3 linked regions of the Lonchura striata genome follow. The protein of the gene in region 3 binds, or shares a complex with, the protein of the main gene of each other region. Links are inferred from orthologs where the notes say so. Each region holds a gene or a part of one and is shown on either strand. Other genes may lie near its edges.

The links.
Region 1: CENPA (region 3) and CENPC share a complex: the UniProt entries of both Homo sapiens proteins name them as parts of the CENPA-NAC complex. The link is inferred for Lonchura striata from reciprocal best matches to the Homo sapiens genes CENPA and CENPC.
Region 2: the proteins of CENPA (region 3) and NTMT1 are in contact, whole or in part, in a crystal structure (PDB 5CVD), measured with the Homo sapiens proteins. The link is inferred for Lonchura striata from reciprocal best matches to the Homo sapiens genes CENPA and NTMT1. Residues at the interface, in NP_001800.1 of Homo sapiens: Gly2, Pro3, Arg4, Arg5, Arg6, Ser7; in NP_001273725.1 of Homo sapiens: Tyr19, Trp20, Met30, Leu31, Gly32, Tyr34, Ile37, Trp136, Asn168, Ile175, Asp177, Asp180, Asp212, Glu213, Ile214, Tyr215.

What each region holds. Positions count from the first base shown.
Region 1 is NC_134606.1:44,829,028-44,836,884, reverse strand, and holds the start of CENPC (centromere protein C), read left to right. Parts: upstream 1-4,811; 5' UTR 4,812-4,904; coding exon 4,905-4,919; intron 4,920-6,207; coding exon 6,208-6,254; intron 6,255-7,290; coding exon 7,291-7,352; intron 7,353-7,676; coding exon 7,677-7,765; intron 7,766-7,857. Other genes in the region: UBA6 (ubiquitin-like modifier-activating enzyme 6), read left to right, coding at 1-68, 1,332-1,467. UniProt on the Homo sapiens protein: Component of the CENPA-NAC (nucleosome-associated) complex, a complex that plays a central role in assembly of kinetochore proteins, mitotic progression and chromosome segregation.
Region 2 is NC_134624.1:3,650,955-3,658,421, reverse strand, and holds the start of NTMT1 (N-terminal Xaa-Pro-Lys N-methyltransferase 1), read right to left. Parts: upstream 3,005-7,467; 5' UTR 2,951-3,004; intron 2,799-2,950; exon of another isoform or gene 2,737-2,798; intron 2,670-2,736; exon of another isoform or gene 2,653-2,669; intron 2,018-2,652; 5' UTR 1,958-2,017; intron 1,186-1,957; 5' UTR 1,145-1,185; coding exon 983-1,144; intron 834-982; coding exon 581-833; intron 201-580; coding exon 1-200. UniProt on the Homo sapiens protein: Distributive alpha-N-methyltransferase that methylates the N-terminus of target proteins containing the N-terminal motif [Ala/Gly/Pro/Ser]-Pro-Lys when the initiator Met is cleaved.
Region 3 is NC_134623.1:6,098,910-6,106,488, reverse strand, and holds the start of CENPA (histone H3-like centromeric protein A), read right to left. Parts: upstream 3,012-7,579; coding exon 2,936-3,011; intron 2,049-2,935; coding exon 1,957-2,048; intron 767-1,956; coding exon 689-766; intron 97-688; exon of another isoform or gene 90-96; coding exon 1-89. UniProt on the Homo sapiens protein: Histone H3-like nucleosomal protein that is specifically found in centromeric nucleosomes. Replaces conventional H3 in the nucleosome core of centromeric chromatin that serves as an assembly site for the inner kinetochore.

The sequences.
Region 1 (7,857 bases), on a different chromosome or scaffold from region 3:
GTTGTACAAGGAGTCAAAATGCTCTATGTTCCTGTGATGCCAGGCCATATCAAAAGATTAAAGTTGACGTAAGTATAACTGGAAAGTGGATTTAGGGATGCAAGTGCACACACAAATTATGTTCATTGCTTGTATCAAATGGACATATGTCTGACAGCAGTATTTTCTCTCAAAGTGGTTTCTAGCCATTAATACTTTGGAAAGAAAAAACACATTTGAAAGAAAAAAAGATAATTTATTACTTTTTGTAAAACAAACAGAAAAAAAAGAAAATAAAAAAGAGAAGGTGAATTAACTTCTGTGATGAGGAAAGGAGACTTGCAAAATGCTTCTTTAACTGTTGAATACCAGAATGAGAAAGCTAAAGAAGTCTGGCAGTAATTCTTTGGGGGGAAAGAATGTACCATGGTTCAAGCAGAACAAGACTACTAGGACCTTTTGAAACTGGCTTAAAACTAATGCTAGTATTTAGCAATTTAGCTCTGAAGGAATAATGTATTGCTTGCAGTTTAAGATTTCTGGAAGTCTGTTCAATTATAGTAATTGCTTGAGATTCTACATCACTTTAGCCCTTTTAAGAATGATGACAATTACAAAGGCTTTGCTATGCTGCTTACAGAGAGGAAATTGAGGTGTTTCACCCTGGCAGTTTGGCAGGATGTGAAGGCAGGGCATTAGTTTTGACTGAAGGCCTTTGCAAAATAACAGCCAGATCTCACCCAGTTTAGTCCTGCCTTACACCTGTGGGTTGAACTACTTTAGCTCAAAATCTGTTCCTTACAGCTCCTGTGAAGTGTGTGGTAGTGTTCACAGGCTTTGCTGGAGCAAGTGGATGCACTGCTCAGTACTGTTTTGAAGGCCTGCCAGTAGCTATAAGGGAGAGATGTATGAGTAAGCTACTTCAAACTCCTGGGGAGAGAAGAGCTGCTAAGTTGTAGAGTTGCTACAATGAGAATTTACAGCGTATCTCTAAAAATGTTGCTTATATGTTTTCTCTTACAGCTGTATAAATATTTTTGAATGAGTGGGGTATGTAATGAAGTCAAAGCCATGGTATGAAGCTGCCTTCTTGTGAATATCAGGATTTTTTACTACTATGGCACTTTAATGGGCTGTGTCTGTCAGGAAAATGGAATACTGTTTGCTGAAGCTCAGGTGGAGGAACAGCTTTTGTGTGTAATTCAGAGGTGGTTTATTCTCTGTTTTAATTTGGTCTGTAGTATGCTGGGCTAGTACATATTGCTGGCAGTGAAATTCTTCTGGGTCTGGCCCTGAGTTCCCATTGTCAATCCTCTTGGTACATTTATGAACTGCTCTTAATTTCTTTATAGGATGCAAAAGCTTGTGAAACCATCAGCTGATAAGAAGTATGTGGATTTGACAGTATCATTTGCTCCAGAGACTGATGGAGAGGAAGACTTGCCTGGGCCACCAGTGAGATACTACTTTGTTCAGGAAGACAATTGATGGTAGAGACACAAAAGTCACTCATGGACCATTTGTTCTGAAAGGAGTGTGCTAATTTTTAGCTATTAAAGATGGTACTCTATATTTCTTTTTGGTGAAGCCTTAATTAAATGGTGAAAATCAGTGGCTTTGCACTGAAGACAAACTGGATTTGTTTCTTCTGCTCTTGTATTCTTCAAGCCTGTTTGCTCAAAGGAGGATTGGTCACTCCATGAGATGGAATGTCCAGTACAGTCCTTAGCTTAAAGGCAAGATTTGTTCTGAGGAAAGCAAGAAGAATGGTGAACCTAAGAAATGGTCCCCATGTGCAAATTAGGTAATTTGCATTTTCTTAGGGAAGAGTGCAAAAAATAGGAAAAGCACCATTTTATGATACTCCTGGTGTTCTAAGAACATCTCAAATTCATTTCACATGTTACACCATTCTCAAACAAGAATTTCATTCTTGCCATCTACACATAAGATCCATCTGAACGGCTTAAACTCCCACTCAAAAGCAGAGGAACTGCTTTCTTGTGTGGCTGCTTAGTGGTGCTGTGGTCAGCACAGCTATCTTGTGTCAGTCTCAACATGGAGATGTAGGGAGGGGGTGTGAATTGTCAAAACACCCTGAAGTCCAGAGAGCTGGAATTTTTGATTATCTGCACTAAGACTGTTCTTTGTGGAATACTGCAGTATGGGGAAAGTGAAAGCCTATTGGAGAGCCAAATTAGCACTTTCAACAATAAAACTTGGTCTTCAACAAAGAGAAAATGTGGTTGAGCCTTTCTGCCCTCACCAAATTAAAATCACTGTAGCACTTGATGACGTTTAAGGCAGAAAAAAGACAAATGGATGTTTGTCAAAGCAAACTTACCTCAGCTGTTCCTTTTGGTACTATTTCCCTATAGCAAATTGTTGTGCTGTATACCTGTCCTCAGAACAAGTCTGAGCTGCACTGAACCGTGAGGTCTTTACCCTCACTGGTTAGTTATTGGGATGTGTAATTATAAAATTTCTGCTTAATTGGAAATCATTATGGACTAGTTTTGCTTCTGTGGTGAGGCAGAGGTGTGTTACAAAAACATAATCATTTAAGTCATTTAAGCACTGAGTACTTGAGGTTGTAGTTCTTTTTTTCTCCCCATCACAGTAGAGCAAGGCAAAATTAAAAGAAAAACTTACAAACTGAAATACCCTCTCATATGTTTCAGCTTTAGAGATTGTTATTTAACATTATATCCTGCAGCTGTTGCAAAAGCTATTAACAGCTTAGCTGTTTATCCTCAATCATAGTTTATTAAGCTTTAGGGATGTCTTCACATTTAATGTAATGATGTCACTAATTAGCGCTAAGGATCACATAAAGGTTTAGGTCAACAAGAAAAACTGTCACCTCTCACAGCTGGAGGCTGGGAAACAAATGAAACTTTGAGTAAGTATATTCTCTTACGTTAGTGTGGTGTTAATGTCATGCTTATGCTTTTGAAATAAGCAGCATTTAAAAATAGTAAAGTCTTAGTACTGTTCTAGAATGCCATATAACTGTCCTCAGGGTTTAAAGTAAACTGTCAGATATAATTAATGCAATGGCTTTTACTAATCACAACATGTACACCTTTGAGAGCCTTGTAAAAAGTCCAGGTCAAGGCTGGCAGGGATCACAGCCGGAAATTGCAGATATGGCTGTATCTTTATGCTGCTCTTATTGTGTGTGTCATGGATGGATGGATGCTCTGTGGATAGGTTCTGCTTAGTTAAAAAGTTGATTATGGAAAAAGTAAAAATTCACAATGGCTCTAGATATTTATTAGCACACCTTTAAAATTTTTGGATGTAAATTAATCTAGGTAAAATCTCAGAACTAGTAACTTCAAGAGGACTTTCTGTAGAAGAACTCAGCATGTCAAGTGGCTCATTAAACCTGTTATTCTTGCTTTAAACCTTTTTGAATTGCTGATATGGAGAGTGAAGGTATTTATATGGAAGATTGTGGAGTATACTGATTCAGTGTGAATTTGTGTTTGATAGAGCCCGTTTCTCAATCTGCTCCTGCTTTTTATCAAAAATCTCTGCAGGTGCCCAGCACGATCACACTAAAAAGGCCCTGGGCAAGCGAATGTTGGGTTGCCAATCTTCAAATCTTCAATGTTGTCAGTGTTACCACACTAGAGGCTTGTAGTATTACCTAGAACCTGAGAACTGCTTTATTTATTTATTTAGTTAGTTTAGGTTTTTTTTTTTGTTTTTTTTGTTTTTTTTTTTTTTCTTTTTTTTTTCTTTTGTGGCAGTGAAAACTTGTATTAGTCTAGGACTGTTTGATGCACAATTCCAGTGGAGCAGCTGAAGCTTGCTGTCTTCCTGCAACAATGAAGAACTGTCTTTCCACAGAGCACTTCAAAAAGCTTTCTTTCAGAATGTTATTCTTTGAGAGAGCAGTTGATTTGCAGGAATTAAGTTTTATATCAGTAATTCAGCTCCTCACTCAAATGCCTTCTTGAAGTTTGCTCATATGTACACCAGCTTTCTCTAAATTTCTATCACTGTTAATAGATAAAGTTAATTAATTTGTGCATGCCCGGTTGCTGCTGTGCGAGACCGGCTCCGGGCGGGCGCCGGCGGGAGGCTCTGCGAGGCTCAGTTCCAGCGCGGGCACACGAAATGGCGGCACGGGCCTCGGGTGCAGACACGTGTTCCCGAGACCGCGCGCACCGGCCCGGCGCCGGTTACACCCCGTGCCGGGGCGGGGAACCTGAGCCGCGGCCAATGGGACGGCAGGCAGGGGACAGGGGCAGGGAAACCCCGGGGACAGCGAGGGGAGCGGCGGGGGGCAGGGACCGACCGCGTGGCGAAGGGAAAGGCGGGAGGTGTGATAAGGGAACGCGCGGGAAGGGGGGAGGGGGGGGAAGAAAAAATTGCAAACCCCGCACCCGGTATTAAGCAGCCAGATCAACTGTTCTCTGATTAGTCATCATGTTTCTTTAATGTTAGGAGTAGTGAGGATTCTGTGTGAGGGTCTCAATACTGTTACCAAGACTGCTGGATCAGATGGATTTAAGCTTTTGTTAGCTATACCACAAGTAAAAAGAAAAAAATGCAACGCGCCGTGGTGACAAGGAATGCTTTGTAGCGTTTGGAAACCCGAGGATTTTGAGCGTTTCCCACCGGCGAAGTAAAAGAACGGGAAGCATCGCCCGCCCGTCCCCTCGGAGAAAGGCGGCCAGGAGGTTGGGGGGGGGCGGGGCTACGGGCGCAGCATCTGCTTGTGCGCAGGCGCGACAACCGCGCGCGCCTAAATCACCTTCCCTGCTTGGCGCGCGGCGGCTGCCGACCAATGGGACGGGGCCGCGGAGGCGTGGCCGGGATGCCGCCGGCCGTGCGCGCGCGCGCCTGCCCGGCGGGAAGGGTGCGCGAGGTTCGAAGGCGGCGCGGGGAGCGCGCTCCGGCCCCGGTCTGGTATGGCGCAGGCTTTGGTGAGAGAGGGCGGGAGCGGCCGCTCTGTCTGTCCGTCAGTCTGCCTCTCTGTGTCTGCGTCTGTCTGCTTGTGTCTCTGTGTCTGTCTGTCTGGTTTGTTGTGAGCGGCGGCCGAGCTCGGCAGTAGCGCGGAGGCGCGGCGCTCGGCTCGCTCCTGAGGGGAGGGGCAGGGCGGGTCTTCCCCCTGAGGAGAGCGAGGCTCGAGCTGGCGGCCCGCGCTCGCTCCGGATCCGGGCGGTTGGCACAGGCATGCTGGCTGCTCCGTCGGGAGCCCCGCTGCCCTCAGCGCACCCGTGTCCGTGCCAGACCCCGTTCCTCCCGGGCTGCCTCTGGAGAGACGACTGCCGCGGGACGGCGAGCGCATCAACAGCAGGACACTTGTGCCGTCACCCTAGAATCGCTTAAGTTTTAAAATTCTTCATGTGTAGCGCGACACGAACACAGTAATAAATGAACTGTTAAAGGCTCTTTCAGGCCCTTGACAGGAATATTATATTTCTTTAGTGAGCAAGGTCATTTGCTCGCTCTGCTGCGAAGGGAAGGGGGTTTACGTTTATGCTCGAGTGCTGGGTTGACTGCGGAGTGTGCTTCTGTATAGTTTCTGAAGTGGTGTCTTTTGGTCAGTTGTTTTCCCTGTCACCTGTTTCCTTCTGCCACTTTAAACCGATGTTGAAAAATTGCAGTGAAATCAATCCATATAGAGTTTGATTATTTTTGATACCAGGAGTAATATCTAACGGGGAATTACAGTGAAGTGCCAAGTACTGTCAGTATGGCAAACTTCAGGAAAACGTGCCAAATTATTAGATAATTGCATTACTCCACGTTGTATATACTCTAAATTTACACGAATCAGGAAGAGGTTATAGTTGTTTTTCGGCTAAACATTTACATTTTTTAAGGTATTTTTGTGACACATTTGTGAAGAACTACACTCTGCTTTGCTGTTGAATTTTTCTTGCCCTTTATTCCTATTTTATTCTCTACAACCATTGCTGGTTCCCAGGTTAGTGGCTTTATTTGATTATACAGAGAATGTGTTGCTGCTTGAATTATTACTGCTTTAATTGTGGTAAATGGCGGGAGTCCTGTCTGCTGTTTGAGTTACTGGTTTTATATTTGGGTTTCAAGTGTATGAAGAGGCACTGTGGCATTCTAAGAAAAACAGTGCTGCAATAACTCCCACTCTCCTACTACTTCAAAATGTCTCTAGAATCCTTGAGATCTGCTTATTTATTTTTCAAGTGCTATCATGCTTATTAAAAATGGATTCTTATTTCTTCACAGAATCGTTTAAAAAAAGACTACAGAGCAAGGTTCTGCCATGGAGGAGGGTAATTTGCATTTTAAACAACCTATTCTTAGATTCTGGAAAACTTACCTTGACTTTATCTATGAGCTAAATGTCAAAACTACTTGGTGTACCTTATTAAATTGATCGTATGATGTTTCCCAAATTTCTTGTATTTCTTAATGGTAAGAGGAGCAAGCTCTGTGGGGGCACAAGGCTCCAAGGTTTTTCTTCGCTGAGGCAGCAGATTGTGGTGTAGCTGTACACCTGTGTAGGACCCCTGACTGGGCTGCCTGAGTAGGGAAGCAGTTATCTGTGCAAACGTGTAGCCTTTCAAGGAGTAGAGAAATTAAGCCCAGGCAGAGTTCCAGCATATTTGGACCTTGCTGCTAAATGTTAGGGATGAGTTTGAGGATTTGCAGTACTGTGATGTTCTTTACATGTGTCTCTGAAGACTTTGTTGCTGAAATCAATTTCTGGACATGCATCTCATGAGCTTACCAAATGTATACATTTTGCTGTTTTTAAAGGTATATCATGATCATTATAGGTGTGTTATTTTGGTTTTGATCAACACTGGCTGGTGAATCACTCACTTCTGCCCTTTTCATTTTGTTGGTCTGAAATAATAATCCAACCAGCTGAGCTGCTCACTTGCTTATGGATACGATACCTCAGGCTTGGTTCTAGGTCTGCTGCAACTGCACCACTGTGCAGGCAACATAGCTCCAGATATGATTAAAAAAAAAAATAAAAAATTACTTAAGTGAGGCTCTAGTCAGCCTAAAGCTCATTTACCTCAGGGCTGTTGCAGTAGTTGCGTGTTTTCTTTAATGTAGAGAGAATTCTTCGTTCTTATTATAATCTGTGGCAGTGAGGCTTTTTTTCCTGGAATTCCTGCTTTGACAAATTTCTTTGCAGATATGTATACATAGAAATTGTAGGTAAAAATATATTAAAATTTGAACTAGAAGAAGTAATAACCTAAAATATTTAGAAGTAAAGCTTTGCTACTTTAGTATTTGGGATAAAAGCATTTAGCATTTTTGATTGAAAATATTTTTCCCTCTTCTTTCTAGAAATAAGATTGATCTACAGCCAGGTCAAAACGTGTTGAAGGTCATACAGGATTGTTTTGAAAGTAAGCTCTTATTTGGTGTTTTGCTTGATTTGCTGCTAAAAGAAAAAATTGTTTTCTTCCTTGTGTTATTTAGTGGTAAGTACATAGAAATAAAAAATAGGGATAAAATGGAAAAAAAAATAGTATTTCTCAGGATTTTTAAGAACAGCCCCTTCTCAGCTTTTTAAAACTGTATCTTAGCTCTCTTATAATCTCTTTCTCAAGTAGCTGATTACTTTCTTGTTTGAATTTACATGATCTTAGTGAGCCTTAGAACTTGTTAAAATAAATAAAACCTGGACAATTCCAAGATTCCCATATTTACTGTTTTTTTTTTCTTCATAGGTTGTAGCAGTGATCTTACAACAAACTCTCCAAATTGCTCAAGCTTTGTTTTGAAAGATGAGAAGAGGACTTCAGAATCAAGACAAAGTGTAAGCTCTGTCAGTGTCATAGTGTAGCACTGGATACAGGTTCATGTGGGTACAAGTTAAATTCTGCAGCATTTAGTTCTGTATGAGCACCT
Region 2 (7,467 bases), on a different chromosome or scaffold from region 3:
CTCCTCTGCCAAGAGGTGCAGCCCAGCTCTGCGGATGATCTTATGGACCACGTCCAGGTCCCGGCAGACGCTGCTGTCCACATCGTCCATGATCACCCCCTCCTGAGCCATGTTGTCCTTGATGACCACGATGCCGTTGGGCCGCAGGCCGGCACGGCAGCGCTTCAGGAAGTCGGAGAGGTGGTTGTCAGTGAGATGTCCTGGAGGGGCAGAGCAGGGGTTAGAGGGCAGGGTTGACCAAGGGGAGGAAACACAGAAGCTGCATTTGGGATCCCTCCAGATCCAAATGGCCAAATACTTGAGACGTCTGCAGGGACAGCTTTAGCTTGGGAGTGTCCAGCTTGTGTCTCACTACTCAACTCCATCCAACCCACATCTCTGCTCTGGCCTCTGAGGGCTTGGGGGGAAAAGTACAGGGCCCCTCCATGGGATGGGGGACGACTGCCCGCCCCAGGCCCCCACCCCTGCTGTGATCCTCATCCTCCAGGCAGACCTCAAGCCGCTCTCCCCAGTGCACAGGGTACCTGCCCCTCAGGGGAACAGGACAGGCTGGAAAGACCCCACAAGCGGCGACCCTCACCGATGACCCACTGGATCCAGATGACATCATAGGAGTTTGGCTCAGGGCTGAAGTCCTGGAGGCCGCAGCAGAAGTAGTTGCGCACTCGCCTGCCCTCCTCTCCCAGGTAGCTCTTGGCCTTGGTGAGGAAGTCCTCTGTCACATCCACCATGTCCACTGTCTTGAAGAGGGGCAGCAGCAGCCGCTTGGTGATCCGGCCAATGCCAGCCCCGCAGTCCAGAGCACGGGTTGTCCCCGTCCGGTTGGGGCCATCCTGCAACAACCACCGTGAGGGGTGAATCCCACAGAGGAGAAACGGCACAACCACACAGAGGATCCCATGGAGCAATTCAGAGGGAAGAGCCCAGCTCCACGCTGGGAGTAGGGTGGGGTTTTATGAGCACGACAAACTGTGCCACCTACCCGCAGAAACCTCTGCAGGAACTTCCTGGAGCTGTTGATGTCGATGCTGGAGATGTGGCCGTAGCCCCCCAGCATGCCATCCACCGTGGCGGGCACATCCTTCCAGTACTTCTCTGCCTTGGAGTAAAACTCAAACTCGTTCTCCACCACCTCGCTGGTCATGCTGGCCAAGGGCACGTGCCCGCACAGGACTCGCTGCTCCCCTGGGGTGGGAGAACCCCAAACCAGCCAGGAATGAGTCAGCTCTGCCAGTACCCCACACCTTTATCACCTTTATCACCCCTTCCCCCTCCCCAGGGCTACTGCAAACTACAAAAACCTTCAGCTGAGAGCAAGAAGGAACAAAGATCTAAATCCTGGTATTTTCTGGAGACCAAGAAGCCCAAAACCACTCCCTGGGCAGATGCCTCAGCCAGAACAGCCATGGCAGAGCCTTGCTCAGCAATACACGTAATTATACAATTATATTTTAAGGCTGACCCACCCTTTTCACCTATTCTGCCTCTCCTTTCCCTGCCTTAACATTGTACAGATTCCAGGTTTATGTGTGGCGACAACCCCATCAGTCACCTCCAATTACATCTCGAGTTGCTAAAAGTTATCCTGAGCACCTACCTGAGGATTGTAAATCTCAGCCGTGACCATAAGTTAGATATTTGCAATATAATAAAGTCAAGGTATAATCAGCAATACAGGCTATAAATCCCCCCCAGGCATCTCATAATTCAAACCACTATGGATTTGATTAACTGCGCTGGGGATTAGAAACTAGATTTAAGGTGGCCAAAGGGTAAATTCAAGGACTTCAAACACCTTTACAAATAAAGAAATATATAGAGTTTGTGGCTTGAATTTGCTGGCAAATACCCTATTAGACACAAAACCTTTTCTATGGCAGCTTAGACAGGTTTGGTGGCCCCACGTGGCCTCGAACAGCCTAGGGATAGGAAAGGGGGACATGGCATCTCAACTTACAGGTCACCGGTGGAAATCCAGTTTGGCTCAGTGGTGCCAGGAGCCAGTCTACACTGTGATCTAGGAGCAGAGAAGATTGGATTTAAGTGCCCAGTCACCCTTCTAGTCCTGTAAGTCTGACCATGGCCCCAGGAAACCACAGGTAAGAGACAGCCCAGCCCCACAGACACACTCCCAGCAGGCTGGGGGACAGGAGCTGCTGCTGCCCCTTAGCTCAGAGGCAGAGCCATGAGTGTAGCCAGTGCATGGAGGGTTCTCTTCCAGCGCCCCTGTCTGTGCTCCAATTTGAGCAGTGCTCCTGTCCGATTTCACGGGCTGGGACCCAGGCTCACCCTCCCGGCAGTGACCCCATTCCTTGGCCTGGCTTTGGCTCGGTGAGTCCCTGGGGACTCATTCTCAGGGTGCCACAGGCTGCCAGCAGACGCAGAGAGCACCCAGCCGCAGTGCCCCGAACCTAAACCCGAACCCGAGCGTTCGTGCTGCCGCAGGAGCCGCGACACGCGGCCGGTGCCCGCGGCAGCCGGGCAGCGCAGGCCGGGGCTGCCGCGGCCGCGGGGGAAGGTCACGGCGCGGAGGGGTCAGCGCAGCGCGGGGCCCCGAGCCCGGGGCCGCTCTCGGGGGGCTCCGCAGGCCGAGGGGCTGAGGCGGTGCCGCCGCGGGGGCTCGGGGGTCCCACCCGGGCCCGGGGGTGTTACCGCAGCCGGTGCGGGGCGAGGGGGCGGCCCCGCTGCACGGCCCGACCCGGCCCCTTCGCCTCCCGCCCACGGGGGCAGCCCTACCCCGGCCCCGGCCCGGGCAGCTCCGCCGGCCGCCCTCTGCGGCGGCGGCCCGTGGAGAGGCGTGCCGGTGCTGCCCGGGGCCGCCGGTGCTGCCCGGGGGTGCCCGGGGTGCCCGGGGCCGCCGGTGCTGCCCGGGGGTGCCCGGGGTGCCCGGGGTGCCGCCGCTCCCGCCGCTGCCCCGGGCCCGGCCGCGACCCCCGGCCCCCCCCGTTACCTCCGGCGGCGGCCGCGCGCTGCGCCCCCACGGGACCGGCGGCCGCGGGGACCAACCAGGCGGCGGCGTGGCGGTGACGTCACCGTGACGTCACGAACCGGCCCTGCCCTGCTCTAACACTGCTGCCCGCGCGGGGGCGCTCCGGGCCGGGGACCGGGGTGGTCAGCGGTGGGACGGACTGGGATGGACTGGGGTGGATTGGGACGGACTGGGGTGGATTGGGACGGACTGGGATGAACTGGGACGGACTGGGATGGACTGGGACGGACTGGGATAGATTGGGATGGGCTGGAATGGACTGGGATGGGCTGGGATGGATTGGGATGGGCTGGGATGGACCGGGACGGACTGGGACGGACTGGGAATGGACTGGGATGGATTGGGAGGGACTGGGACGGACCAAGACGGACTGGGATGGATTGGGACGGACTGGGATGGACTGGGATGGATTTGAATAGGCTGGGACGGACTGGGATGGATTGGGACGGACTGGGATGGACTGGGATGGATTTGAATAGGCTGGGACGGACTGGGATGGATTGGGACAGACTGGAACAGGGGTGCAAGGACTGGGGCGGACCGGGCAGCCCCAGGGGAGCCCGCAGGTACCGCGCGGTTCTCGAGGGGCAGGATACCCCAGGAGCCCGGCCGGCTGGCACCGGGGTGACGGGACCCGGCGTCGCCAGAACAAGAAGCCGCGGGGGTGTCCGCGTCCCGGCTCCTGCTCCAGCCCCGATCCTGTCCCGCCGTTGTCCTTGTCCCGGTCCTTGTCCCGGTCCTTGTCCCGGTCCCGTCCCGTCCCCTCCCGCCGTGCCCCGTCCCGGCCGCCAGGGGGCGCTGTTGTCCCGCCGCTGCGCCGCGGGAACTTCGGCGCGTCCTGAGGGGGAGCGGGACAGAGCCCGACACCCGGTACCGGCACCGCGGTACCGACAGAGCCCGACACCCCGGTACCGACACACCGGTACCGACAGAGCCCGACACCCGGTACCGGCACCGCGGTACCGACACACCGGTACCGGCACACCGGTACCGACAGAGCCCGACACCCCGGTACCGACAGAGCCCGACACCCCGGTACCGACACCGCGGTACCGACAGAGCCCGACACCCCGGTACCGGCACCGCGGTACCGACAGAGCCCGACAGCCCGGCACCGGCACCGCGGTACCGACACACCGGTACCGACAGAGCCCGACACCCCGGCACCGACACACCGGTACCGACAGAGCCCGACACCCCGGCACCGGCACCGCGGTACCGACAGAGCCCGACACCCCGGCACCGCGGTACCGACAGAGCCCGACACCCGGTACCGGCACCGCGGTACCGACACACCGGTACCGACAGAGCCCGACACCCCGGTACCGGCACCGCGGTACCGACAGAGCCCGACACCCCGGTACCGACACACCGGTACCGACAGAGCCCGACACCCCGGTACCGGCACCGCGGTACCGACAGAGCCCGACACCCCGGTACCGGCACCGCGGTACCGGCACCCCGGTACCGACACACCGGTACCGACAGAGCCCGACACCCCGGCACCGACACACCGGTACCGGCACCGTGGTACCGACACACCGGTACCGACAGAGCCCGACACCCCGGCACCGACACACCGGTACCGGCACCGTGGTACCGACACACCGGTACCGACACACCGGCAGCGACACTGTGGTACCGACACCCCGGTACCGACACCCCGGTAATGACACACCAGCACCGACACCCGGTACCGACACCCCGGTACCGACAGAGCCCAACACCCCGGTACCAGCACCCTGGTACCGACACACCGGTACCAACAGAGCCCGACACCCCGGCACCGGCACCGTGGTACGGACACACCGGTACCGGCACACCGGCACTGACACTGCGGTACCGACACCCCGGTACCGACACCCCGGTACTGACACACCGGTACCGACAGAGCCGGCACCGAGACAGCTGGTACCGACACCCCCGGTACCGACTGACAGCCCCAGCACCGGCCCCTCGCATCCCTTCCCGTAGCGGTGCCCCCTGTGCCCGTTGCCGGCTCCGGTCCCACCGACCCGCGGGTCCCGGCTCCCCGCGCCCTCCCGTGCCAGCGCTGCCGAGCCCCGGCGGCTCCGCACGGCCGTGGCCGTGTCCCCTCCCCTCCGGGGGTCTCGGACCCCCAGCAGGACGGGGTTAACGGGACCTGGGGGTGCCCACGGCCCAAGGAAGGGGACTGCTGTGGGGACAGTGACAGTGACAGTGACAGTGACAACGCTGCCTTGGCACAGTCGTGTCTGCGGGGAATGGAGGCTGGTGTGGGTTCTCTGCTCTCTGGTATGACCTGAGTCCTTCCCTCATCTTCCCCAGAAACCGAGTTTCACAAAACCTGCAGGGACAAAACCTCCTTGCAGTCACCCAAACCTGTCAGAGGGCAGCGACCAGAGGGTCAGTCCTGCATGGGCGCAGGGGGACCAGGGCCCATTCCCAGCACCTACCTCTCTCAAAATGTCCTAATGGCTCAAACAACTCTTGCTGTCCCCAAAACAGAGCTGCTCAGCCCATGGCCATCCAAAAATCCATGGCACAACCAGGACATGGCCTCAGGGATAGAGCCCCTTGCCATCCTTCCATGGGACATATGCAGAAATGGAGTCGCCACCTTTGGGCAAGCAAACAGAGCCTGGGACAGCTTTCGGGCTCCCAGGTGCCCTGAGTCCCTGTGAAAGGACCCGAGTGTGCTGGGGACAGCAGTGACCTGAGCTGGGGGCTCAGTGCTGACACCAGGAGCATGTGTTAAGTCAACTGCAGAGCAGGGGACACAGTAAGAGCATCTCTGCACAAAAAGCACTGCTTTTTGCAGTTTGCTTTTTATATTTTAAAGAAACAAGGCTCTTTGTCACCAGGGAGGGGACACTGAGCGCTAGGTGGTGGCGCCTTGCTGCTCACAGGTAGAAGGGGTGTTTGGGAGGTGCAGGGGGGTGAGTGTCCCCATGCACGGGCACCTGAATGACCCAAACCCAGCAGTTTGCCCCTCGCCAAAGCTGCCAGCAGCCGTTGCATCGCTCCAGTTGTCACCTGTGTTTTCAAGCAGGCAATGGGCACCTGCATCCCATCCATGCCACATGTCTTCCATGGTGCCTGCAGTATTTGCTGTCTCTGCTTCCCCAACAAGAGGCACTTTTATTTCACTGAGCTGCGCTGGGACTCCTGAAGACTCTTTCCATTAAGCCCCATCCACCTCCTCCATTCTTCCCTACTGCCAAAACCCTTCATGATGGCAGGAATGGAATGGTGCTCCATCCCCTCCGGGGACTGGGGCTCTGCTTTGGCCGCTCAGGTTCCAATGAAATCTGCAGCAGTTGCCTTAGATCAGGGACAGGTCTTCTTTGCAAATGTTTCCTTTGATTTGATACTATTATTGTTATTAATTTCGTTAAGGTAGCAGAGTGTGGCTGAAAATTAAAAGGAAAACTAAACTGAGTGTCCCTGAGCTTGCCATGTTTCTGAGCCCAGCTGGGGATGAGGGTCCCAGCACTGAGGACTCCCTGTTGAGTCCCACTCTCTGCAGGTCCAGCCTTGGGGCCAGTTTGTGGAAAGCCAAATCTGTAAATAAGAGTGGCAGCAGCAGCCACAGCTCCAGCCACGCCGCAGAGCCGCCCGTGCCTTCCTGGGCTCAGCTGCCTCCCCGTGGTCACTGCTGCTGGGAAATGCTTTTCCTCTGACGGGTTTCAATCTTGTCACTCAGTAATTCCTTGTGTGACGAGACAGAAAACACCCCCAGACCCCTCTCTCCAGCCCATTTGTTTCCCTGCACGCCCTCCCTCCTGCTCCCACTCACTCGCCACCTTCCAAGGCAATCATGGTGCTGCGATTGCTCTTCAGGAATATTTTTTTTTTCCTTTTCCCCAGGTGCCTAATCACCCTTATTACCCTTTTCTGATTAATTAATTCTAATTAATTTTGCACTATCATTTTTGAGAGGAGGTGACCAGGACAGCACATGTTGTTGCAGGTGATTTGTAAGGCAGGTCCTGCAGTGCCAGCACAGCCCTTCCCTCGGTGCCGTTTAACCCGGGTCCAGGTGGGCACCTCCTGCCCCGTTTGCTGCCTTTGATGGCAATTAAAAGAGCACTGAAACTTCCCAGGCCATGGCAGGAGCCCTGAGGTGCTTTCCTGGGAACCACAGGGGATGTTCCCATCTCCTCTGCTCTGCCTCGGCAGCAGGGTTCAACCCTGGCCAAACCTGCCCCGTGTCCACGTTTGCCCAGCTCCTTCAGCCAGCTCTGCTGTGCCATGGCCAAGGCTTGGGAAGTCAGAACAAATTAGGTCAGGGCTTCTCCATGCTCTGCCAAGAGCCACCAAAGCACTCAGAGACACAGCAGAGGTCCCTTCGTCACCTCTCACCTTCCAGCCCTGGTGCCAGTCCTTCTCCAGGTACCAGCAGGGGCTTCTTCTGTGTTGCCCTTTGTAGCCAAAAGCTGACATGGTTTGGGTGATTCTGCACTTAACACAGATGCCTGGGGGACAGAGGTCATCGT
Region 3 (7,579 bases):
AGATCCTTGGGGAACAGGGTGACTCGGCGGGCGTGCAGCGAGCATAGGTACGCGTCTTCCAGCATCCGCACGATGAAGGCCTCTGCCGCCTGTGTCCTAAAAGGTGAGGGGGTGTCCCCAAAGCCCCCCAGCAAGCTCCAACCCCCACAGCTCTTCCCCCAGGCAGAGAATGCCCCCCCCAAAACACACACCCAGGGGGCAGGGTTCCTCCAAACCCACCCACAGGTAACTGGGGGGACTGAAACACCCAGTGCCTGTAAATGTGTGCGGGGACACCATCACCCAGTGACCCATCCCCAGTCCCCAACAGACCTCAGGAATAAGAGAACACCCCCACCCTCTCAACATCCATGGAACCCTGTCCAAGAACCCATAGACCCCCCCCCAGCCAATGGAGATTCTCCTAGACTCCCCCTCAGCTCCCACCACACATACCCAACAAACCTCTCAGCCTCATCCAAGCACCAAAAGAGACCTTCCTGGACCTCCCAGCCCCCCAGAGACACCCCCAGCACCCACACACCCCCCTGCAGCAGCCACAGAACCCCCCATCCCCCATGTCCCTTCTCAGCACCCATGAGATCCCCCTCAGCCCCCTCCCCAACCCCTAGTTCCCTGGATACCCCAGGAGGACCCATAGGACACCTCCAGCCCCTCTGTGAACCCCCTCCACCACTCCAACCCCTACCTCCTGCAGCGCCAGCAGGGCCATGCGCTGCCAGCGGTAATCCACCCCGCGGGTGAAGAGTAGGCAGATCTCCCGCACCTGCGGCAGAGAGGGCACGGGGAGGGGGCCACATGGTGGCATCAGGGTCACAGGGAGAGAGGGGACATTGGGACAACATGGATGGAATATGGGGGCATTGGGGACATCCCAGGCTGGGGCCACCACCATGGCGACACCCTGGAGACATGGAGACGCTGCCCTGGAGACATCCCAGGGACCTGGGGACACCCTTGTTATCACCCTGGAGACACTTTGGGGACACTCCAGGTACAGGAACACAGGGGACAGGAACCCCTGAGGATACACTGGGGAGTGGGGATGTGGGAACACCATGATAGGGACACCCTGCAGAGATCCCAGGTGGGAGGCAGGGGGGAAGCACCACTCTAGGAACATCTTGGGAACACCCTCAGCCATGGGAACATGTGGACACTCCCCTGGAGACACCCTGATCGGACAGAAGGGACAGTGCCAGCACGGTGGGAGGGGCACAGGGAGCACTCAATCCATGAAGGTGGCAGGTCACAAAAATGTCAGGAACCACAGAAGGATATTGGGGGATATGCAAGGATGTTGGGGGAGGACAGGCCCACTATGTCATGAGGACGGGGAGGACAAGGACATGGGGAGGGCTGGAACAGGGTTGAGTGGGGGCCCTGGGGAAAGAGGGTGGTCCTAAGGAGTCCTGGGGGTGATCTGGGGTTCTGGGGGGGGTAACTTGGTTGGTCTGTACGGGGTTGCAGGGTCCCAATGGGTTTTAGGGAGGGGGTCAAGGGCAGGTTGGAGGGTTCCAGGCTGGATTTCAGGGGGCCTAGGGTGGATTTGGGGTTGGATTTTAAGGGGTCCAGTGGATTGTTTGAAGAGTCCCAGTGGGTATTTGGGAGAATCCTGTGGAGAGCTGAAGGGTCCCAGAGTGGATTTAAAGGCTCTGGGGGAGGTTGCAGGGTCTGAAAGTGTTGATCTGGGATGGATTTCGGCATCCCAGAAGAGGGGATCCAGAGTGGTTTGGAAGATACCAGACAATGTTGGCGGTTCTAGGTGAAATTGGGGGTGGCCTGGAGGGGTTTGGGGGTCCTAAAGTAGATTCTATGGGTATCTGGGATGATCTGTGCAGTCCCAGGGGAGTTTGGGAGTCCATGGGGGGCACTGGGAAGGTTCCGTGGGGGAAATTGCATTGTCTGGGGATTTTACGGCAGGAGTGTTCATTTTGGGATGTGGGGGGTCCTTACCAGGCGGGCGAAGGGGCCGGGGCGCAGCAGCAGGCGGGTGCTGCTCTGGTACCTGCGGATCTCCTGCAATGCCCGCTGACCTGGGCGGAGTCCTGCAGGGGCATTGGATAGGGGTCTGTGAGGGCTTTAGCAGATCTGTTTGGCCTGGGGAGCACAGATGGAGGGCTCTGAAGGAACATGGGGGGGTATAAGAGATCCATAGGGCCTGGCAGAACACAGGGGTCTCTATGCGGGGGCCTATAGGGGCCTAGGGAACAGGGGAAAGCTGTGGAGGTTATAAGGGATCTGTAAGGTCTGGGGGGACATTGCAGGTATGAGGGATCTGTAGAGAGCTACAGTGATGGCCAATATAGGGGAATTATAGGGGACAGGGAGTATGAGGGGTTTTGAGGAACAGGGTGTAGGGGGTTGTAGCAATGTATCTGAACAACTTGGGCCTCAGTGTGCACCAGCCATACCACTTGTAACTGTTCTTACCAGAATTTTCTCAGGAATTCATAAGGTTACTAAGGCATAAACTGTGCTAAAATAAGAATGAAGAAGCTGAGAAACCACAGGATCACAAGAACTAGATAACAGAGAACTGTAGAACACCTGCATGGTAACAAATAACGGAAGCTGAGAAGTGGAGGCAGAGAATGAGGGAACAAGACAAAGGCACCAATCAATAAGTGTGATCTTAGTTGTTTGTAGAATCTATAAAAGTGTGTGCAATGTAAAGAATATATGGCTTTTGCTTGGTCATACTGGTCAGTTGTTTAGGAGTCTTGGTTGACAGGCAATAGAGAGCTATAGGGGAGAGGGAGTGTGGAGTGACTATAGTGATGGAAGCATATAGGGGTATCTACTGCACAGGCTAGGGACGGAGGACAACAATGGGGGAGTCCGTAGGAGTGCTCTGGAGGGGGGTCTAAAAGGGGCTCGATGTGGGAGGTCCACAGGGGGTGTCAGTAAGGGGCGTCCCCTGCCCCTCACTCACTGCGTGCCCGCGGCCGGGGCGATGGGGGGGCTCGGGGAGCGCCACGCCGCCGGGGGGTGGGTTTGGGGCGGGGCATGGCGTGGCCGAGTCAGCCGCAGGGTCAGGGCGAGTCCAGGCGTCCGGCGGGGCTGGCGGAAACCTGACGGCCGGGGAAGGGGGAGTCAGGGCGGACTGAGGTGTCTGGGGCCACTCCCGGGTCCCCCCAAGGCCCCCCTCCCTCTCCCTGCCAATGACATTGCGCCCGGGATCCGCCGCAGCCGCCCAGTTCCAACCTCCCGCCGCCCAGTTCCAGCCTCCCGCCGCCCAGTTCCAACCTCCCGCCGCCCAGTTCCAGCCTCCCGCCGCCCAGTTCCAACCTCCCGCCGCCCATTCCAACCTCCCGCCGCCGCCGCCGCCCCGCTCGAGCCTCCCGCGGCAGCCGCCCTGTTCAAATCTCGCGCCGCCGCGGCGCTGCTCGTGACGTCACTTCCCTCCGCGCGTCAATCGGGCGCGCGACCGCTCTGCGCCGCCGGCCTCCGCGACTCGATGGTGCCGCAGCTGCTGGGGTCATTAGCATAAATTTGCATGACCCCGGCCCGGGCACCCCACGCCTCGGTGCTCCCAGGGTAATCTCTGTTACCGTCCCAGTGTGATCTCCGTCACTCCTAGTGTGGCTCCCGGTCATCTGCGTAGCTCCAGTTACTCCCAGAAGAATCCCAGTACGATTGCAGTCCCCTGCAATATGATTCTAGTGCTTTCCAGTCACTCCCAGTGTGAGTCCAGTATGATCACAACTGTGAAAAACGCCAATCACTTGGTTTTTAAAATTTTAAAAGTTTAATAATAATAAAATTATTACAAATATAGTAATACAATTAGTGTAATAAAATTTAGAGTTAGGACAATTACAAGACAATAAAAAGCAAAGAATTATGGATGTGTCCGGATGTTCTTGGACACTAAGTCACAAAAAGCATGCCTTGTGAACAAAGGAATAACTGTAAAAGCATAACCTGTTGCATATTCATATATCTCATACATGATGCATAAATTCCTTGCAAATTAAGAACTTTTCTGGGTTTTGTCAGCTTCTTCCCCTTAATCCTGCTGGTTCCATAAAGATGGAGAGAAGGAGGAAGAATGTCTTTTCTGACAAGGAGACAGTAACTCTTTATGGGCCCCAAGTCACTGTCATCTCTGTGCGAAGAGTTTCTTGATTATCTCATCTCCTGCTTGAGCTAGTAAAAAAATCCTACACCTCAGAGTTTCTATTTTAACATTATGTTGTAACCTAAAACTACCTTTAACGCACTACTTAAGAGAACTAATACAGCATAACTTTCTAACATTACACATATAATATTCATTGGAACATTTGCAAAAAGCCAATCATAAAATCACAACAACTACTCCCAGTATGATCCCTGTCACACCCCCAATGGTCCCAGTCAATTTATGTCCATACTAGAATGATCCCACTATGATCCCAGTTACTCCCAGTATGATCCTGGTTGCCTCCAGTGGGGTTCCAGTCACTCCCAGTATGAACCCAGCATGGTCCCAAGCCGTCCCCTCCTGTATGATCCTAGTTGCCCCAGTTCTGGTCCCAGTACCCCCAGCATGATTCCGGCATCTTCCATTTGCTCCCAGTGTATTTTCAGTTGGCTCCCAACATGGTCCCAGTAGCTTCCTGTGCCTCCCAGTACCCAGTGGGGGTCAGTCAAGGATTACAACTGTTCATGAAACCCATTGGGAGAAGCAGATTGGGGCATTAGTGAACCCATGGTGGCCCAGGTGGGCTTTGGGGTCTCTTGAGGGTATTGCAAGACCTCCCAGTTTACCCAGAGTTTTCCCAGTGAGCCACCACACTCCTCATTTGACCCCATCAAGCCTCCCAGTTGCCCCTAGTTGTCCACCCGGGCCAGTGTTGAACAGGACCAGCCCCAGCACTGAGCCCTAAGGAACCCCAGCAGTGCCCAGCCCCAGCTGGCTGGGCCCCATTCCCACCCCTCCTTGGCCACCAGCCAGGTGTTCCCAGCGAGAGGCACCTGTCTCAGCTGTGACCTTCAGGTGTTCCAGGGGACGCAGGGAGATGGAGGCAGTGCCAAAGGCTTTGCTGAGCTTCAGGCAGACACACCCACACATGTCCAACACCCACTGGGGCCACCTGGGCATAGCAGGAGATCAGGTGAGTTAGGCAATACCTGCCTTTCCCAAGCCCTGGCTGTTCCCAATGCCTGTTTCATGTCTGTGCCATTTGTTCCCTCAGGGAATCTGTTCCAGGGATGTTCCAACAACAAGGCCTGAAGTTTGCTGGATCCTTCTGGCCCTGGTCTCAGTGGCTCCCAGTCACCTTCAGTATGGTACCGGTCATTCCCTGTATGATCCTTGTCACTCCCACTATGATAATAGTATGATCCCAGTGTGGTCCCAATTGCTCCTATTTACCTCCAGAATGAATCCCCTTTCTCACTGTCACTCTCCAGCATTTGTTCCCTGTATGTTCCTAGTTAGCCCAGTTATGATCCCCGCTGCTCCCAGCATGGTCCCAGTCGCTCCTAGTGCCTCCCTGTGGCCAGTGGGTGTCAGTTGAGGGTTGCAGCTGTCCATAAAATCCATCTGGGGAAAAAAGGACACTCAAGTGATGCGGGGGGATGTTGTGGTTTGACACAGAATGGAATTTTTACGAAAGGAAGAGGGTCAAGCCAGTCAGTGATTGGGGTTGGATATTGGCATTTGGACTGCCAATTGAAGGCTGGACATGCCTATGAGGACACAAAATAGTTAAAAGAAGAATTCCCAAGAGAACTTGCTTTTTTTTGTTCCGGTCAGAGTGCAGTGCAGGACTCTCCCCTGCCCAGCCAGGTGTCTGGGTGGGGGAGAGGAAGTCCTGTAGCCTGACTTAGGTAAGGCCGAAGGATGGAGGGACTGGAAACGGGCGGGCCCCCTTCAGATGGAAGGGTGGAGGAAAATCTGGGATGTCTGCGTTCCCCCCAGAGTCTCTCTGGAGAGAGAGAGAAAGAGACAGAGACGGCGTCAGTCAGCAGTATACCGCGGGGAAGGAGAAGAGCTGGGGGTCGAAGGAAGGTGCCCAGCCATGGGAGCTGGAGATCTGGGCAGAGAGCCAGGTGTCTGGGGAATCTGAGACTTTTAACCCTTCCTTGAGAAATGAAGCTTTGTGAAATATTACTCCTCCTTGATTTGAAAGAGAAGAAGCGAGACAGTCTGGGACCCAAGATGTTAGGAGAAATTCTAGGTGGGAGGAGATGATGGAGTGGCTTTTGGCTGGACTTTTTCTTGTTAACCATAGACTGAACCAATTGTCTTCTCCAAGAGAGACTGTATTTTAGGGGGATGTCTGGTGAACCAAGAGACTTGTTTCAGTGACTACCAACACTGGAGTGGAGTGAACAGAGAAGAGTTGAGGAGGGTGTGGTGATGCCCTCTGTCTTCAGAAAGAAGATGATCTCTGTTCTTGAGACCCTCGGCCCCAGGGGAGAAAGAAAATGGGGGGGACTGTGGTCCCAACAATGAGAAACTGAACTGTTGTTTTTCTTTGGTACTTGGCAAAGCATCCTTGAAAAGAAAACCCTACCCTATGAGCAGTCTGTCCATCCATGTACGGTGGTGAGGGTGCTGTGCATGGAACGGAGTTGTCACCGTGGCAATTTTTTTCACCGGGCGGTGCCATGTGTGACATGGAAACACAAGAAGTAGCAGTTGTGTTTCTTGGGGGGCGTCTATGGCACAGGAGAGACTCCTCTGTCCCTCGGTGGACTGAGTATTGATTATCGGAAGGGTGGGAACCTGACTGGGGGTCCAAGTTGTGTCTCACTGTGGTTGGTTGGAATTGGGGGAGGGAGGAGGAATGTTTTTGGAAGGTTTTCATTTTTTTTTAAATTTAGTTTTTTTCTTTCTTTTTCCTTTTATAGTAGTAATAGTTTAATGAAGTTTCTCCTTTGTTATTAAGCTTGGGCCTGGTCTGCTCTGTTCCTGATCGTATCTCACAGCAAATCATTTGGGGGTTGTATTTTCATGGGGGCGCTGGCAATGTGCCAGTGTCAAACCATGACAGGGGATATGGAAAGACATGAAGGCACTGTCCTGCTGTGACCAAAACTGCAGGAAAAACAAAAACTGTCCAACAACATTTCTAGTTTAAGAGAATTAAGGCATTACTTTATTCTGGCCAGGATGTTGCTCTGGCCAGAATGTGCAACAGAGATAATTTCATCCACACATTGCCTGTGTTGTGCAGAGAAAACTATTCCATCACACATGGTTCTTTACTAGATTTTTCACATACTTACACAGTCAAAACCCAGAAAAATTAACTGGTTCAACGTTCATTGGCCACAAGTTACACAGTTCTTTGTATCTGGTTTCCTATTGGTTATTGATCCCTTTGCCTTCAGCGCTCATTAGGTTGTCATTCTTCATTCTCTTATTGATCTTTTCTCAGACCAAATGTCTCTGACACACCATTAAGGATGTTTGGATGCAGAAGGTCACTCCTTTCTTGAGCATCCTCTGGCAGGTCCCAGTCCATTGAGATGTCAAGCTCGTCAGGCCTTGCCCGGGGAACAGAGTCTCTTGAAAAGAAACTTCCATTCCCTTCCCCCTGGGCAAAGACCCCTGACTAAAGTTAGTTAAAATTTTAGGAGT